Saccharomyces cerevisiae S288C: one gene and its partners. The protein of the gene in region 2 purifies or fractionates together with the protein of the main gene of each other region. This does not show direct contact. Each region holds a gene or a part of one and is shown on either strand. Other genes may lie near its edges.

What was found.
Region 1: the proteins of CHD1 (region 2) and CKB1 purify together in Saccharomyces cerevisiae (affinity purification with mass spectrometry, with the first as the bait; 5 studies listed by BioGRID). This does not show direct contact.
Region 3: the proteins of CHD1 (region 2) and CKA2 purify together in Saccharomyces cerevisiae (affinity purification with mass spectrometry; 7 studies listed by BioGRID). This does not show direct contact.

Annotation. Positions count from the first base shown.
Region 1 is NC_001139.9:455,851-459,492, forward strand, and holds CKB1 (casein kinase 2 regulatory subunit CKB1), read left to right. Parts: upstream 1-2,305; coding exon 2,306-3,142; downstream 3,143-3,642. Other genes in the region: protein kinase ALK1, read left to right, coding at 1-1,217; GET complex subunit GET1, read right to left, coding at 1,313-2,020; J-type chaperone JAC1, read right to left, coding at 3,260-3,642. UniProt on the Saccharomyces cerevisiae protein: Regulatory subunit of casein kinase II/CK2.
Region 2 is NC_001137.3:503,289-510,651, forward strand, and holds CHD1 (chromatin-remodeling ATPase CHD1), read left to right. Parts: upstream 1-2,103; coding exon 2,104-6,510; downstream 6,511-7,363. Other genes in the region: GCG1 (gamma-glutamylcyclotransferase), read right to left, coding at 1-494; PAB1 (polyadenylate-binding protein), read left to right, coding at 7,085-7,363. UniProt on the Saccharomyces cerevisiae protein: ATP-dependent chromatin-remodeling factor which functions as substrate recognition component of the transcription regulatory histone acetylation (HAT) complexes SAGA and SLIK. It recognizes H3K4me.
Region 3 is NC_001147.6:439,124-443,053, forward strand, and holds CKA2 (casein kinase 2 catalytic subunit CKA2), read left to right. Parts: upstream 1-2,410; coding exon 2,411-3,430; downstream 3,431-3,930. Other genes in the region: LPL1 (putative hydrolase), read right to left, coding at 1-1,135; SLD7 (Sld7p), read right to left, coding at 1,267-2,040; YOR062C (uncharacterized protein), read right to left, coding at 3,602-3,930. UniProt on the Saccharomyces cerevisiae protein: Catalytic subunit of a constitutively active serine/threonine-protein kinase complex that phosphorylates a large number of substrates containing acidic residues C-terminal to the phosphorylated serine or threonine.

The sequences.
Region 1 (3,642 bases), on a different chromosome or scaffold from region 2:
CTTTGAACGTGTTGAAGAAAAGGAATTCGCAATCAAGTTTGAAGCACAAAAGTTCACATGCATCCTTACAAAAATTCAAAAGAAACAAAGGAAAGTCCTCCATGATAGCACCATCGACAGCAACTAATAGCAGCAATGATGACTCTTGTAGCTACAGTTCCAAAAATTCTACGTTGAGTCACCGAATATCGTTACCTGTACCGGACCAAGTTTCCCGTGATAAAATTCAGAACAAATTAAGATATTCGACCTCATTACTCTCATTAAATTCTAAATCATCTTTACCGATGAACAAAAATGATCATGATGAGACACTTCTAAGACAGATTTTACTAAATTGTGATATAAAGAGAATTTTAAACCCCGCAAAAGGAGATGTATTGCCTTTAATCAACGATGTAAACCATTTGTCATCAATACAATTAACATCAAATGTTTGGCAAATTGGTGAAGTAATCTGTAAAAAAGTTTCTCTCGGTACTATTGATGACATTACATGGGATAGAAAGTTCTTATCTTTGCAGGAACTGGAAAAACTCAAAATCATGCAACAAAAATTTGATGGCATACCGCAACTATTGAAAAGTTTTGTTGTTAAAGAGGCAAATGGGGGGTTGTATTTGTACTTACTATTCAAAGATCACGGTACCCCAATTTCGTTAATCTCACTGAAAAACTGGAAGCAGATTCTAAAGATTTTTTGGTCTTGTGCTGGTATAATTCATGGGTTGGAAAAAAATTTGAAATTTGAACATCGTAATCTTACTTTGGATAATATTTTGATAGATGGTAATGGGAATATAACAATTATTGATTTTAAATGCAGTAGATTGCAAACTCCTCAAGATGATGTTTTATATCTACGGCTAGATCATCCACTCTTTTTTCTAAATGGGAAAGACAAGAGTAAAATAAACGAATACCAGTATCAATTTGAGTTTGAAATCTATCAAAGTATGCGGATCTTGTTGAACATGGACGCGTCAGCTTTTGAGCCCATGACAAATTTGTATTGGTTATATTACCTGTCACGCGTTTTACTAAAGTTTGGTGACAGGAAGCTTGGTAAGAATGATGCAAACAGGGATAAAATGGCAAGGGTGATAAACCATTTGGAAATGAACTTGGCAGTTCATAAAAGAGGGGGGCAGTTATTCAAAAGATTGGAGACGGAGGACATTAAGAATACTGGAGATTTACTAAAACTTTATAAATAAAACAAATAGGAATGTTGACATTTATATTTCATTTTCTTTCTATTGTATACTCCAATACATAAACATATTATATATACGTACATAATGTAATAACACTAATCTAAAATAATGGCATCGTCGACAGCATCCAAGGCTTTCTCCTCTTGAGTCTCCACAGATGCAGGTGCTTCCATTTTGGGAGTCAAAAACAATTGCTTAACGATAAATTCCACGCCGTTGATGACATTCATCAATGCCCAAACCCAGATTCCCAAAGAGACACTCTGTAAAGCCATATCATCAAACTTGGAAGCACCAAATTTGCCCTCCATTATATGCCATTTCTGAGAAATAGTCCTTAGAGGATGCAAGAGAACATATAACCAGCCTTGAGACCAAACACCACTTACAAACGTAGGGAACAAGGTGCTAGTCGAGGAACTCAACTTGTAAACTGGTGTCTTGCCGTACATAATCTTAAACACAAAAAATGGCACCGTCAATGCCAATAACCTGAGTTTGTGAAGATGGGCCTGAAAGGCTTTATTTTCTGATTGTATTTCGTCCTTCAAGTTATTTATTTCTTTATCTAACGAGTCCAATTTTCTATTGTTCTTAGTCCATTTGGCATAATTATCCTGCGCGGAGATAGAGTTGTTGAATTCTTTTAATTCGTGACGTTCTTTGACCTTGGCTAAGTATTTTTTGGATAATTCATTTCCTGGTGCAAATTTAGAGATCCATTTCTCGTGGTATTTGTTTGTATACTGTAGAAACTTTGTGACCACAATAAAGAATATCGCTACCGCTGCTGCCCAATGCATTTCTCCTATTTCAATCAACTAGACGTAGTTCAAGGATTGCAAACTGTCCTGCTTTCTTTTATCTGGTCTTTTTATCCCGAGGTATTGTTGTATATACCACTACTCTGTGATTTTTTTTCACTCTTGGGAAGGAAAGAAAAAGTGAAAACATCAACTGGTAAGTGTCTAATGACAAAAACAGGAGGTAGTTGGTACGTGCAAAACACGATAGTGACGTTAATCCGAATCTGTAAATTGGTGAATTGGTATTTAGAAGCGACCATTAGCTAAAAGAGAGAGAAAACTATGTCGCAAGAGTTTGTGGAAGACTATTCACGTACAGGGTCCTCAGACGACGAGGATAGTGGAGCTTATGACGAGTGGATTCCATCGTTCTGTTCCAGATTTGGTCACGAGTACTTCTGCCAAGTCCCGACAGAGTTTATCGAGGATGATTTCAATATGACCTCGTTATCCCAAGAGGTACCCCACTACCGGAAAGCTCTGGATTTGATATTGGATTTGGAGGCTATGAGTGATGAAGAAGAGGACGAAGACGACGTGGTGGAAGAAGACGAAGTGGATCAAGAGATGCAGAGTAATGACGGTCATGATGAAGGCAAAAGGAGAAACAAGTCGCCAGTGGTGAACAAGAGTATTATCGAGCACGCAGCAGAACAGTTATACGGATTGATACATGCAAGATTTATTCTGACCAAGCCAGGCCTGCAAGCAATGGCTGAAAAATTCGACCACAAGGAATTTGGAACGTGCCCCCGTTACTATTGTAATGGCATGCAGTTGCTGCCTTGTGGGTTGAGCGATACAGTTGGGAAACACACCGTAAGGTTGTACTGTCCCAGTTGTCAGGACTTGTATCTTCCCCAATCATCTAGATTCCTGTGCTTAGAAGGTGCATTTTGGGGGACAAGCTTCCCTGGTGTGTTCTTGAAACATTTCAAAGAATTGGAAGAGTATGTGGAAAGGAAAAGTAAAGAGTCCTACGAGTTGAAAGTTTTTGGGTTCAGGATAAATGATGAGGCAGTATCTGGTCCTAGAATGAAGTGGTTGAGACAATATCCATCCACGGAGGAGGACTGGGAAGAATTTGCCAAATGCGAGTTCGAGACACCGGCGGTTTAACCCTTGATTTATTTTCCTCTTTGCCCTACCATATACATATGTACTTTACCTATTTACATTGTTTCAGTTTTTATATCACCACTATTATTATTATTACTATTACCACTTTGGAGTACTTTAGTGATTCATTTCCAATTGTTTTCCTGGAGCCCAGTCTTTGAATGCCTTGGCCAAGTTGTACCAGTACTTTAGCTCCACGGTCAACTTCACTGCGGCGGCGTAATCCTTGTCATTGTAGCATTGTCCCAACTGGGCTTCAATATCTTGAATTCTTTCCTTGTTTTGCTTTTCAAGCAGCTTCACACCAGCTTCGTCGTCCATCTGGGATAATTCATCATGGATGTCTAGAACTTTCAATAGTAACTGTGGATCACTGGTAGTTACTTCATTTGAGGTCTGTTCTTGCGTCAAATCGATATTGCGCAAGAGTTTTAGCATATATTGTGACCTTCTAAGGGGATCTTTGAGAGTATGGTAAGCTTGATTAAGAGTTGATGACT
Region 2 (7,363 bases):
ATTGTACCAATGTACACCGAAGTAAGTAGTACCCGTTTACCCGATTTGTTGTGCCGAGGCAACTGTTCTAATGCTTCACCCAATTCTGCCTCGTGCTCCCGATTAGTTTCTAGATGCACCTCAACCTCATGTAGAGTGTACCCGTTTTGTTCTCTTACGTTCAAATACTCTCTAACCTCTTGAGCATGTTCTGGTGGTATATAATACACTACCCCTATGGTGACTAAGTCGTCGGGATCCTGGATAGGTGCACTTTCACTATACAAATTCACATTCTTCAAGAAGGCAGTTTGCCTTATAATATCCTCATACGGGATTAGTGTGGCCACTCTTCCTGGGTTTGCAGGTGTACCCCTATGATCAGTGGAACTTTGCCAGAACCGACGAGCAAAACCGTGAATTATTGCCGGTATTCTATGCGTGTAATGAGACGGAGGCTTGTAAATCAGAGATCCGTAGCCTAGGACCCAGATACCACTGTTGTCATTAGTCATTTGGCCATACAACTTTTTATAAGCCCAAACCAACGTCGTGATTGCTTCTTCCAAGGTTAAATCACCTCGAGACTAAACTCATAGCTAATATTGACCTTACCTTTTAGCGTTACCCAGAATACCAATTATCCCGCTCCTTGGCGAATCCAAAAAAAAAAAAAAGGAAAAATTACTGGAGTGGCAAATTTTCTCATTCTCTTCATATAAACCACTAGGGAGGACGTCGAAGAAAAGTCTGCTAGGTGTTGGTGACAACTTCCAAGCTTCCCTTAACACAAGGGAACTATTGATAACCGCTGGTTGACATACGCCTTTAAAAGAGGTCATACGTTGCGACACTCTCTCCCTCCCCTCTCACTGATGTTTTCTGTCTTCAATTTCTGGCAATAATCTTAAGACGAAGCAGTCAAGTCCTAAGGAAGAAAACGATTTTTGATTGTTTTAAGTTGCCACTACGTAGTGGTCAATATGGAAGCCTCTGCGCAATGGAGAAACACGGGTGGCATAGGTCAGCGAACCATACAAGCGAGAACACTCTCATTACTTTATGGATCATCTCAGTATTTCACCGTTCGAGGAAAATCTTCTTTCGCAGGCCGAAGTCACCGTGATATATTTGATACTTTTGAGATATCCTTGAAAGGTAAGCTTCTATGTTGTACGTTTATTTTTTTTAACTTTCTTTGTTTTAGCTTTTACTTCGATGATATGTTACTGCCCCATATACGGTAAAAGATCATACGTTGCCAAAATCAAAAGACATGATTGCCTGTATGTTTTCCTCAGCCCATCAATGCGTAATACGGTCAGCTAAACGCTGCTCACAAGCCAAGGGCTTGCGTGTTGCTCGCGCATCGGTTGGATATCACTGGTAGGCCACTTCTTCAATATTTTGAAAATGAAACACGCTAAAGTTGAAAACTTAATTATCAACCGTCCAGAAGGTGTAGGCAATTTCATCTAAGAGAATAAATTTAACATCCCACGATCCTTATCACATCCCATCCCTACACTAGGACATATGTTCCCAAACATTACAAAGTTCTTTCCTGATATCATTACTGATATAAGATTATGTCAATTATTGATACCATTAAAGACATGTAATATGCAACACTTGTCGAACAGATCATAGTTCAGTAGTCGATTATCATACTGTTACCCTCTCGTTATATAATTTTACTTTTTTTCCTTTCCTTCTTTTCAATTTCGAAACTGTACCACGAGAAACATTGTGTAGAAGAATCTTGTCCTCATTATATCTGGTTAGTACTATCGTATTCTTGTCCGGACATCTAAGTCAAGTTGATAAAAGTTTGGGGTTATCAAGTCAAGATAAGCAAGCTTGCAGAAGTCACCTTCTCTTTTCCGTTACTTCTTTTGTGAATATACACATACTTGTTTCTTCCAAAGGAGAAAATTGAATAAGCCTAAACATCGACCATCATTTTCTTTAATTCGTACTTGAGTTCCACTAGCTTACCTATTCACTAACGACAAAGTTTCTCAAAGGTTTTTATTTTTCATTTGCTTCAAGACTTTTCCGTTATTTCTTTAAACCTATACCCAATTCAAAGCAGAACCTTTTCTAATTTAATTCTCACTTATAATGGCAGCCAAGGATATTTCTACTGAAGTGCTGCAAAATCCTGAACTATATGGGCTGAGGCGGTCACATAGAGCTGCTGCGCATCAACAAAACTACTTCAACGATAGCGATGATGAGGACGATGAAGATAATATTAAACAGTCGAGGAGGAAGAGAATGACCACGATTGAAGACGACGAAGACGAATTTGAAGATGAAGAAGGCGAAGAAGATTCTGGAGAGGACGAAGATGAGGAAGATTTTGAAGAAGATGATGATTATTATGGCTCTCCTATAAAACAAAATCGATCAAAACCGAAATCAAGAACAAAATCAAAGTCTAAATCTAAGCCAAAATCTCAATCTGAAAAGCAATCTACAGTGAAAATACCAACAAGGTTTTCTAATCGTCAAAACAAAACGGTAAATTATAACATCGATTATAGCGATGATGACCTCTTAGAATCTGAAGATGACTATGGTTCCGAGGAGGCTTTATCAGAGGAAAATGTGCATGAAGCATCTGCCAATCCTCAACCAGAGGACTTCCACGGTATTGATATTGTTATCAATCACAGACTAAAGACATCTTTGGAAGAAGGAAAGGTCTTGGAAAAGACTGTTCCTGACCTCAATAACTGCAAGGAAAATTATGAATTCTTAATCAAATGGACAGATGAATCTCATCTCCACAATACCTGGGAAACTTATGAATCCATTGGCCAAGTCCGTGGATTGAAGAGGTTGGACAACTATTGTAAGCAATTCATCATCGAAGATCAACAAGTAAGATTAGATCCATACGTTACCGCCGAAGATATAGAGATCATGGACATGGAACGTGAACGTAGGCTTGATGAATTTGAGGAGTTCCACGTGCCAGAAAGGATTATTGATAGCCAACGTGCTTCGTTGGAAGACGGCACCTCACAATTACAGTATTTAGTTAAATGGCGTCGTCTAAATTACGACGAGGCTACTTGGGAGAATGCCACAGATATCGTGAAATTGGCACCTGAACAAGTGAAACATTTTCAAAACAGAGAAAACTCTAAGATCCTCCCACAATATTCCAGTAATTATACTTCACAGAGACCGCGTTTTGAGAAGTTAAGCGTGCAACCTCCGTTCATTAAAGGTGGGGAATTAAGAGATTTTCAACTAACTGGTATTAATTGGATGGCATTTTTGTGGTCCAAAGGTGATAATGGTATACTGGCAGATGAGATGGGCCTGGGAAAAACGGTCCAGACTGTCGCCTTTATCAGTTGGCTGATATTTGCTCGTAGACAAAACGGACCTCACATCATTGTCGTTCCTTTATCGACAATGCCTGCCTGGTTGGATACTTTTGAGAAATGGGCGCCTGATTTGAATTGTATATGCTATATGGGCAACCAAAAATCAAGAGATACCATTCGAGAATATGAATTTTACACCAATCCAAGGGCAAAAGGGAAAAAAACAATGAAATTTAATGTTTTATTAACAACATACGAGTACATCTTAAAGGATCGTGCTGAATTAGGAAGTATAAAATGGCAATTTATGGCCGTTGACGAAGCTCATAGACTAAAAAATGCTGAATCATCCCTTTATGAATCATTAAACAGTTTCAAGGTCGCCAACCGTATGTTAATCACAGGCACACCTCTTCAGAATAATATTAAAGAGTTAGCTGCGTTGGTTAATTTCCTAATGCCCGGAAGGTTTACGATTGATCAGGAGATTGATTTTGAAAACCAAGATGAAGAGCAAGAAGAATATATTCATGATTTACACCGAAGAATACAGCCTTTTATTCTTCGTCGGTTGAAGAAAGACGTAGAAAAATCACTTCCATCAAAGACAGAGCGTATTTTAAGAGTTGAATTGTCCGACGTACAGACTGAGTACTATAAAAATATTCTGACTAAAAACTACTCTGCTTTAACTGCTGGAGCTAAAGGGGGTCATTTCTCTTTACTGAATATTATGAACGAGTTGAAAAAGGCATCGAACCATCCATATCTCTTCGATAATGCTGAAGAGCGCGTCTTACAGAAATTTGGGGATGGTAAAATGACTCGAGAAAACGTACTAAGAGGTTTGATCATGTCTTCGGGTAAGATGGTTCTTTTAGACCAATTATTGACCAGATTGAAGAAAGATGGGCACCGCGTGTTGATTTTTTCACAAATGGTCAGAATGCTTGACATTTTAGGCGACTATTTATCCATTAAAGGTATTAACTTCCAAAGGTTAGATGGTACAGTACCATCTGCTCAAAGAAGGATATCTATTGATCATTTCAACTCTCCGGATTCAAACGACTTCGTATTTTTACTTTCTACTCGTGCTGGTGGTTTGGGTATCAACTTAATGACCGCCGATACCGTTGTGATTTTTGATTCCGATTGGAATCCGCAAGCCGATTTACAAGCAATGGCTAGAGCTCATCGTATTGGCCAAAAAAATCACGTTATGGTGTATAGGTTGGTTTCAAAAGACACAGTAGAGGAAGAGGTATTAGAAAGAGCACGGAAGAAAATGATTCTGGAATATGCTATTATTTCTCTTGGAGTGACAGATGGTAACAAATACACTAAGAAGAATGAACCAAATGCCGGTGAATTATCGGCAATCCTGAAGTTCGGTGCAGGCAATATGTTCACTGCCACAGACAACCAGAAAAAATTGGAGGATCTTAACTTGGATGATGTTTTGAATCATGCAGAGGATCACGTTACTACTCCAGACTTAGGAGAGTCGCATCTTGGCGGTGAAGAGTTTTTGAAGCAATTCGAAGTGACTGATTATAAAGCTGATATAGATTGGGATGATATCATTCCAGAAGAAGAACTAAAAAAACTCCAAGATGAAGAGCAGAAACGCAAGGATGAAGAATATGTTAAAGAACAACTTGAAATGATGAATAGAAGGGATAACGCCCTAAAAAAAATAAAAAACAGTGTTAATGGTGATGGGACCGCCGCAAACTCAGATTCTGACGACGATAGTACTTCCAGATCTTCTAGAAGAAGAGCAAGAGCTAATGACATGGACTCTATTGGTGAATCGGAGGTGAGAGCTTTGTATAAAGCTATTTTAAAATTTGGCAACCTAAAGGAGATTTTGGACGAGTTGATTGCAGATGGAACCCTGCCGGTCAAATCATTTGAAAAATACGGTGAAACTTACGATGAAATGATGGAAGCAGCTAAAGACTGTGTACACGAGGAAGAGAAAAATAGAAAAGAAATCTTGGAGAAACTTGAGAAGCATGCTACCGCCTATAGAGCAAAGCTAAAAAGCGGTGAAATAAAAGCAGAGAACCAACCAAAGGATAATCCGTTGACTAGATTATCTTTAAAAAAAAGAGAAAAGAAAGCCGTCCTTTTCAACTTTAAAGGTGTTAAATCTTTAAACGCCGAATCTTTACTAAGTAGAGTGGAGGATTTAAAGTACTTGAAGAACTTGATAAATTCAAACTACAAAGATGATCCATTAAAGTTTAGCCTAGGCAACAACACACCTAAGCCTGTACAGAATTGGTCATCTAATTGGACGAAAGAGGAAGATGAGAAGCTATTGATTGGTGTTTTCAAATATGGATATGGTTCCTGGACACAAATAAGAGACGATCCATTTCTAGGCATTACTGATAAAATATTCTTGAATGAAGTTCACAATCCGGTAGCAAAAAAGTCGGCAAGCTCCTCTGATACAACACCAACACCCTCAAAGAAAGGAAAGGGAATAACGGGTTCTTCAAAAAAAGTACCTGGTGCCATTCACTTGGGCAGAAGAGTTGATTATCTATTATCCTTCTTAAGAGGAGGCCTAAATACAAAGAGTCCCAGTGCTGACATAGGCTCGAAAAAACTCCCTACTGGTCCTTCCAAAAAGAGACAAAGAAAACCTGCTAATCACAGCAAATCCATGACTCCAGAAATTACAAGTTCTGAGCCTGCAAATGGCCCGCCAAGCAAACGTATGAAAGCCCTCCCAAAAGGTCCTGCCGCCTTAATAAATAACACGAGATTGTCTCCAAACAGCCCCACGCCCCCATTAAAGTCCAAGGTTTCCAGAGATAATGGTACAAGGCAATCAAGCAACCCCAGTAGCGGCAGCGCTCACGAAAAAGAATATGACAGCATGGATGAAGAAGACTGTCGACACACAATGAGTGCAATACGTACTTCTTTGAAGCGACTTAGAAGAGGCGGCAAAAGTCTTGATCGTAAGGAATGGGCCAAAATTTTGAAGACCGAATTAACTACGATTGGTAATCATATCGAATCGCAAAAGGGCTCATCGAGAAAGGCAAGCCCAGAAAAATATCGCAAGCACCTTTGGTCTTACAGTGCCAACTTTTGGCCTGCCGACGTTAAGAGTACAAAGCTGATGGCAATGTACGACAAGATAACAGAGTCTCAAAAGAAGTGAAACAATTTTTCTTCACCACATTTTCCATTGTTCCTTCCCCCCATAACTATAAACGTATTTATGTATATATATTTGCGTGTAAGTGTGTGTACTATAGGGCACCGTAAAGTAATAATGCTTAATTAGTTACTACTATGACCATATAAGAGGTCATACTGTATGAAGCCACAAAGCAGATAGATCAATCATGTTTAACGAAAACTGTTAATCGAAGATTATTTCTTTTTTTTTTTCTCTTTCCTTTTTACAAAGAAAATTTTTTTTGCGCTTTTTGCCATCACCATCGCAAGTTCTGGGACAATTGTTCTCTTTCGCTCCAGTTCCAAGGAAAGAGGTTTCTGTTTTACTTAATAGAAAGTGTCATCTTGTATTTTATATCTCTTCTTTCTTGTGTAAAATTCTTTAGTTTTGATTTTGTATTTTTAGGACAGTGAGCTACGAAGTAACATTTTTACTTAATAACCGTTTGAAGCATAGAGCAGGCCCTGGTACCACCACCTAATATCTGGCTTTTTATTCAATAAAAACTCAAAAAAAAAAATCCAAAAAAAACTAAAAAACCAATAAAAATAAAATGGCTGATATTACTGATAAGACAGCTGAACAATTGGAAAACTTGAATATTCAAGATGACCAAAAGCAAGCCGCCACTGGTTCAGAAAGCCAATCTGTTGAAAACTCTTCTGCATCATTATATGTTGGTGACTTAGAACCTTCTGTTTCCGAAGCCCACTTATATGATATCTTCTCTCCAATCGGTTCAGTCTCCTCCATTCGTGTCTGTCGTGATGCCATCACTAAGACCTCTTTGGGCTATGCTTATGTTAACTTTAACGACCATGAAGCCGGCAGA
Region 3 (3,930 bases), on a different chromosome or scaffold from region 2:
TAGATTTCCAAACACCATCATTTATAGTTGTGTATTTTTGGATAAATTCCTTCCAAGGAAGCTCTTCTTCGTTTACAAGATTACTATTACTTGCTTCATAGTTCGCATCCATATCTAAAGCCGAATTTATGATGGACCCGTATGCATCTGTAACATAGCCTTTCAGTTGCTCCGTCAATCCTAATTTTCCTCTGACCTCATTGTGAAGAATGCCATTAGAGAGCATTTTGCGGTACTTGCAAGTAACAATATAACTATAAGCGGTTCCCAGGCCATTCATAACCAGGGCTATTGGGAGAATTAAGAATGTTGCAACTAGTATAATAAGAATAGTGCGTCCCCACTTTTTATAAGTCTTGGTCGGTTTAGTAGGAGCATGGCTGTTAACGTTTAAAGCGTTTAGGTCGACAATCTTAGGCAATATTCCTTTATAGCCAGATCCCGGAATCTTTTCTTCGAATGTATATTTCAATTTGTTGTCAAAATCTATAAATGGGTCGCAATCCGTAATAAACGCCGTATAGAAGGCTACCGTACGGTCATTTTTGACATTCGCAAACGCTATCCTCCATTTAAATAGCGAGAGTGCTTCAAGGTACTCACCCTGGCTCAATTTCACCAATATATTGTTACTAGAATTTGCGATAAACATTTCTCTCCCGCTTTTACCTAAAATAGTAGATCCCAAGGTCCTCAGCGCACTATATAACGCACTTTTATATGCTATGCCCGTAGGATTGTAAAACTCTACCCCCAAATGAGGCGTTGCCATTGTAATGAATAATTGTGGTTCAATATCCTCGAACAGTTCTTTAAATTCGGTCAACATCTTACCGATCATAAATCGGGCCACTAATCCGCCTTGCGAATATCCCATTACGCTTAGTTTGGTGATTTTCCCGTCTTTATAATCTCGGATAAATTCACAAACTTCAATCAATGTCCTGTACCCAATGATTTCGATACCATCAAACGTCTTAAACATGGCATTCTGCTTTGGTAAAAAATATATCATATCATCGTTAACATCTTCCTTTTTTAATGTAGTGGATAAAATTGTCCTCATAGATTCCATATGAGTATAGTTACCCCATAGCCCGTGAATCAGCACAAAAAGGTGTTTATCCGAAGTCATCTGAAGCGCTGTATAATATATATGGTTGATCACACGAAGTTTTCTACCGATTATTGCAGTAAAGAGTTGCCACCCTTTCTTTATTATCTTTGTTTTTCATTTTGATCTTATATACTGAAAATCCCCGTTGATCATGATTTGGTAAAGAGCTTCAGAAGAGTTTCCACAGTTTCCTGCAATGATTCAAACGAAACCTCTTCACCAGATCCCATCGAAATGCGTTTTAATTCATCCCTGTGCGTAAATTCAGCTGCATCAAACGTTATCTTGTATAACTTTTGATAGTCTGTAATAGAATTAGAAATACCTCGAAGTCGGAGGCCACCCAAAATTAGCTTGGACAAAGTTTCATTGAATTGAAGCCGTTTGTCATTAATATGCACGTTGCGATACACTTCCGTTTTCGTTCCGATCTTCCTTTGTTGAGATTGTTGTATTATTATATCAATACTACCTTCCTTTGATACGGAGGCCCTTGTCTTTCCAATATCTTGCTTCAATTTGGTGACCTGGCCATCAAACTCATGCTTCATTGTTAGATCCACTTGAAAGCAGTTTAACTCTGTGTTCTCTCGAAATATAATCAAGTATGCTGGCTCCTGCGATCGCTGATCGACCTTGTCAAACAATTCAATGACAATGCCACGATTCGCGTTCCTTAGTTTTGATTTGAAGTAAGCCTGTGCGGTTGCACTGGTACTATAACATCTATATGTATTCATATTTGTGGAGCGGACCCACAAAGGCAGTTTTGCGAGATCTACATACTGAATGAATTGTCCCCTCAACTCTGAAGTTGATTTACTTGCTGTAGGTCGATTGCTCCAAAGTTGGATATCCCTAATGACCAAACTTCCCTGCTTTCCGCTAAGAGTAAAATTTAGTGTGCATAATTTCCGTGACATCAAAAGTCAGGCGAATTGGTGAATGCTGTCCCCTTTCAAGGCAGTCTATCATTTCTTAGTTACCTGCCAACAGGCCTTTATCAGGCCTCAAAGAAAAAAATTTCCTTGCGTAGCCCGCTTTTCGCCCGAACCTGGCAAAGCAAACAGACGATCGAAAAATTTCCAACGATCTTATCTAGGTGGAAGTTATAAAAAGAAGAATAAAGCATCGTCAACCTTTTTAACCTGAATTGGGAAACAACGGGCACACACATTTGTTGGAGTTTGTATGATTGCTAAAAAATAAAAAGTAATTAAAAAAACATCATAGAGTTGTAAGGTCTCAGGGAAATAGAAGGAACAATAAACCTAAAAGAATAGAAGAAACAGAATGCCATTACCTCCGTCAACATTGAACCAGAAATCTAATAGAGTCTACTCTGTAGCTAGGGTGTACAAGAATGCCTGCGAGGAGAGACCACAAGAATACTGGGACTACGAACAAGGGGTGACCATCGATTGGGGAAAGATTTCCAATTACGAAATTATCAACAAAATTGGAAGAGGGAAATATTCCGAAGTGTTCAGCGGTAGATGTATTGTAAACAACCAGAAGTGTGTTATTAAAGTTTTAAAACCAGTTAAAATGAAAAAAATTTATAGAGAGTTGAAAATTCTGACCAATCTAACAGGCGGCCCCAATGTTGTTGGCCTTTATGATATAGTACAAGACGCTGACTCCAAAATACCTGCTTTGATCTTTGAGGAAATCAAAAATGTTGATTTCAGAACTTTATATCCTACATTCAAACTTCCTGACATCCAGTATTATTTCACGCAATTATTGATTGCGTTAGACTACTGTCACTCCATGGGCATAATGCACAGAGACGTAAAGCCTCAGAATGTCATGATTGATCCTACGGAACGTAAACTAAGGCTGATCGATTGGGGCCTGGCGGAGTTCTACCATCCAGGTGTAGATTACAACGTTCGTGTCGCTTCGCGTTACCACAAGGGACCAGAACTTTTAGTAAACTTGAACCAATATGACTACTCCCTAGACTTATGGTCAGTAGGATGCATGCTAGCAGCTATTGTCTTCAAAAAAGAACCTTTTTTCAAAGGGTCGTCTAATCCAGATCAACTGGTAAAGATTGCCACAGTACTAGGAACCAAGGAACTGTTAGGCTATTTGGGTAAGTACGGGTTGCACTTACCATCTGAATACGACAACATTATGAGAGACTTTACAAAAAAATCGTGGACACACTTTATAACCTCCGAGACCAAATTAGCTGTTCCTGAAGTGGTTGATTTAATCGACAATTTATTAAGGTATGACCATCAAGAAAGATTAACAGCAAAGGAGGCTATGGATCATAAGTTTTTCAAAACGAAGTTTGAATAATTGGACAACAATACTCTTAGCAAGGCAATTCTTTTTCCACCACTGATTTCCATTTATAAAAAGCAGGGGTTTTCCTTTTTTGTAGCTTGATATTAGAGAATATCCTTAATGTGAATATTAAATTGCAAACTCTATTTAACAACGAATGTAGATTATTATATGACCAGAAAATCACTTTATATAGATATAAGAGCCTTCCGTAATGCTATGCAAGTTTTGATGAATTATTATATTGTCGTGAGGCGTGTTCCGAGGAGTTTCGTCGCCATTGGGATAGAGATGCTCGTAATCGTACGTGTCTGGAAGTGCCTGCCGACGGTAGCGATGTCTACTCTCGTCCCAGACAATGGAATAGTTTTGGAATTGTTCTACATCATTTATTAGAACACATGATTCACGAAATCTCCCACGTTTGTCAATATCTCGCCTACGAACAGTGTCATCGAATGATATTGAACGCTGAGAGAGCCATTTACCTTTTGAGTAAAATACGCTGCCTT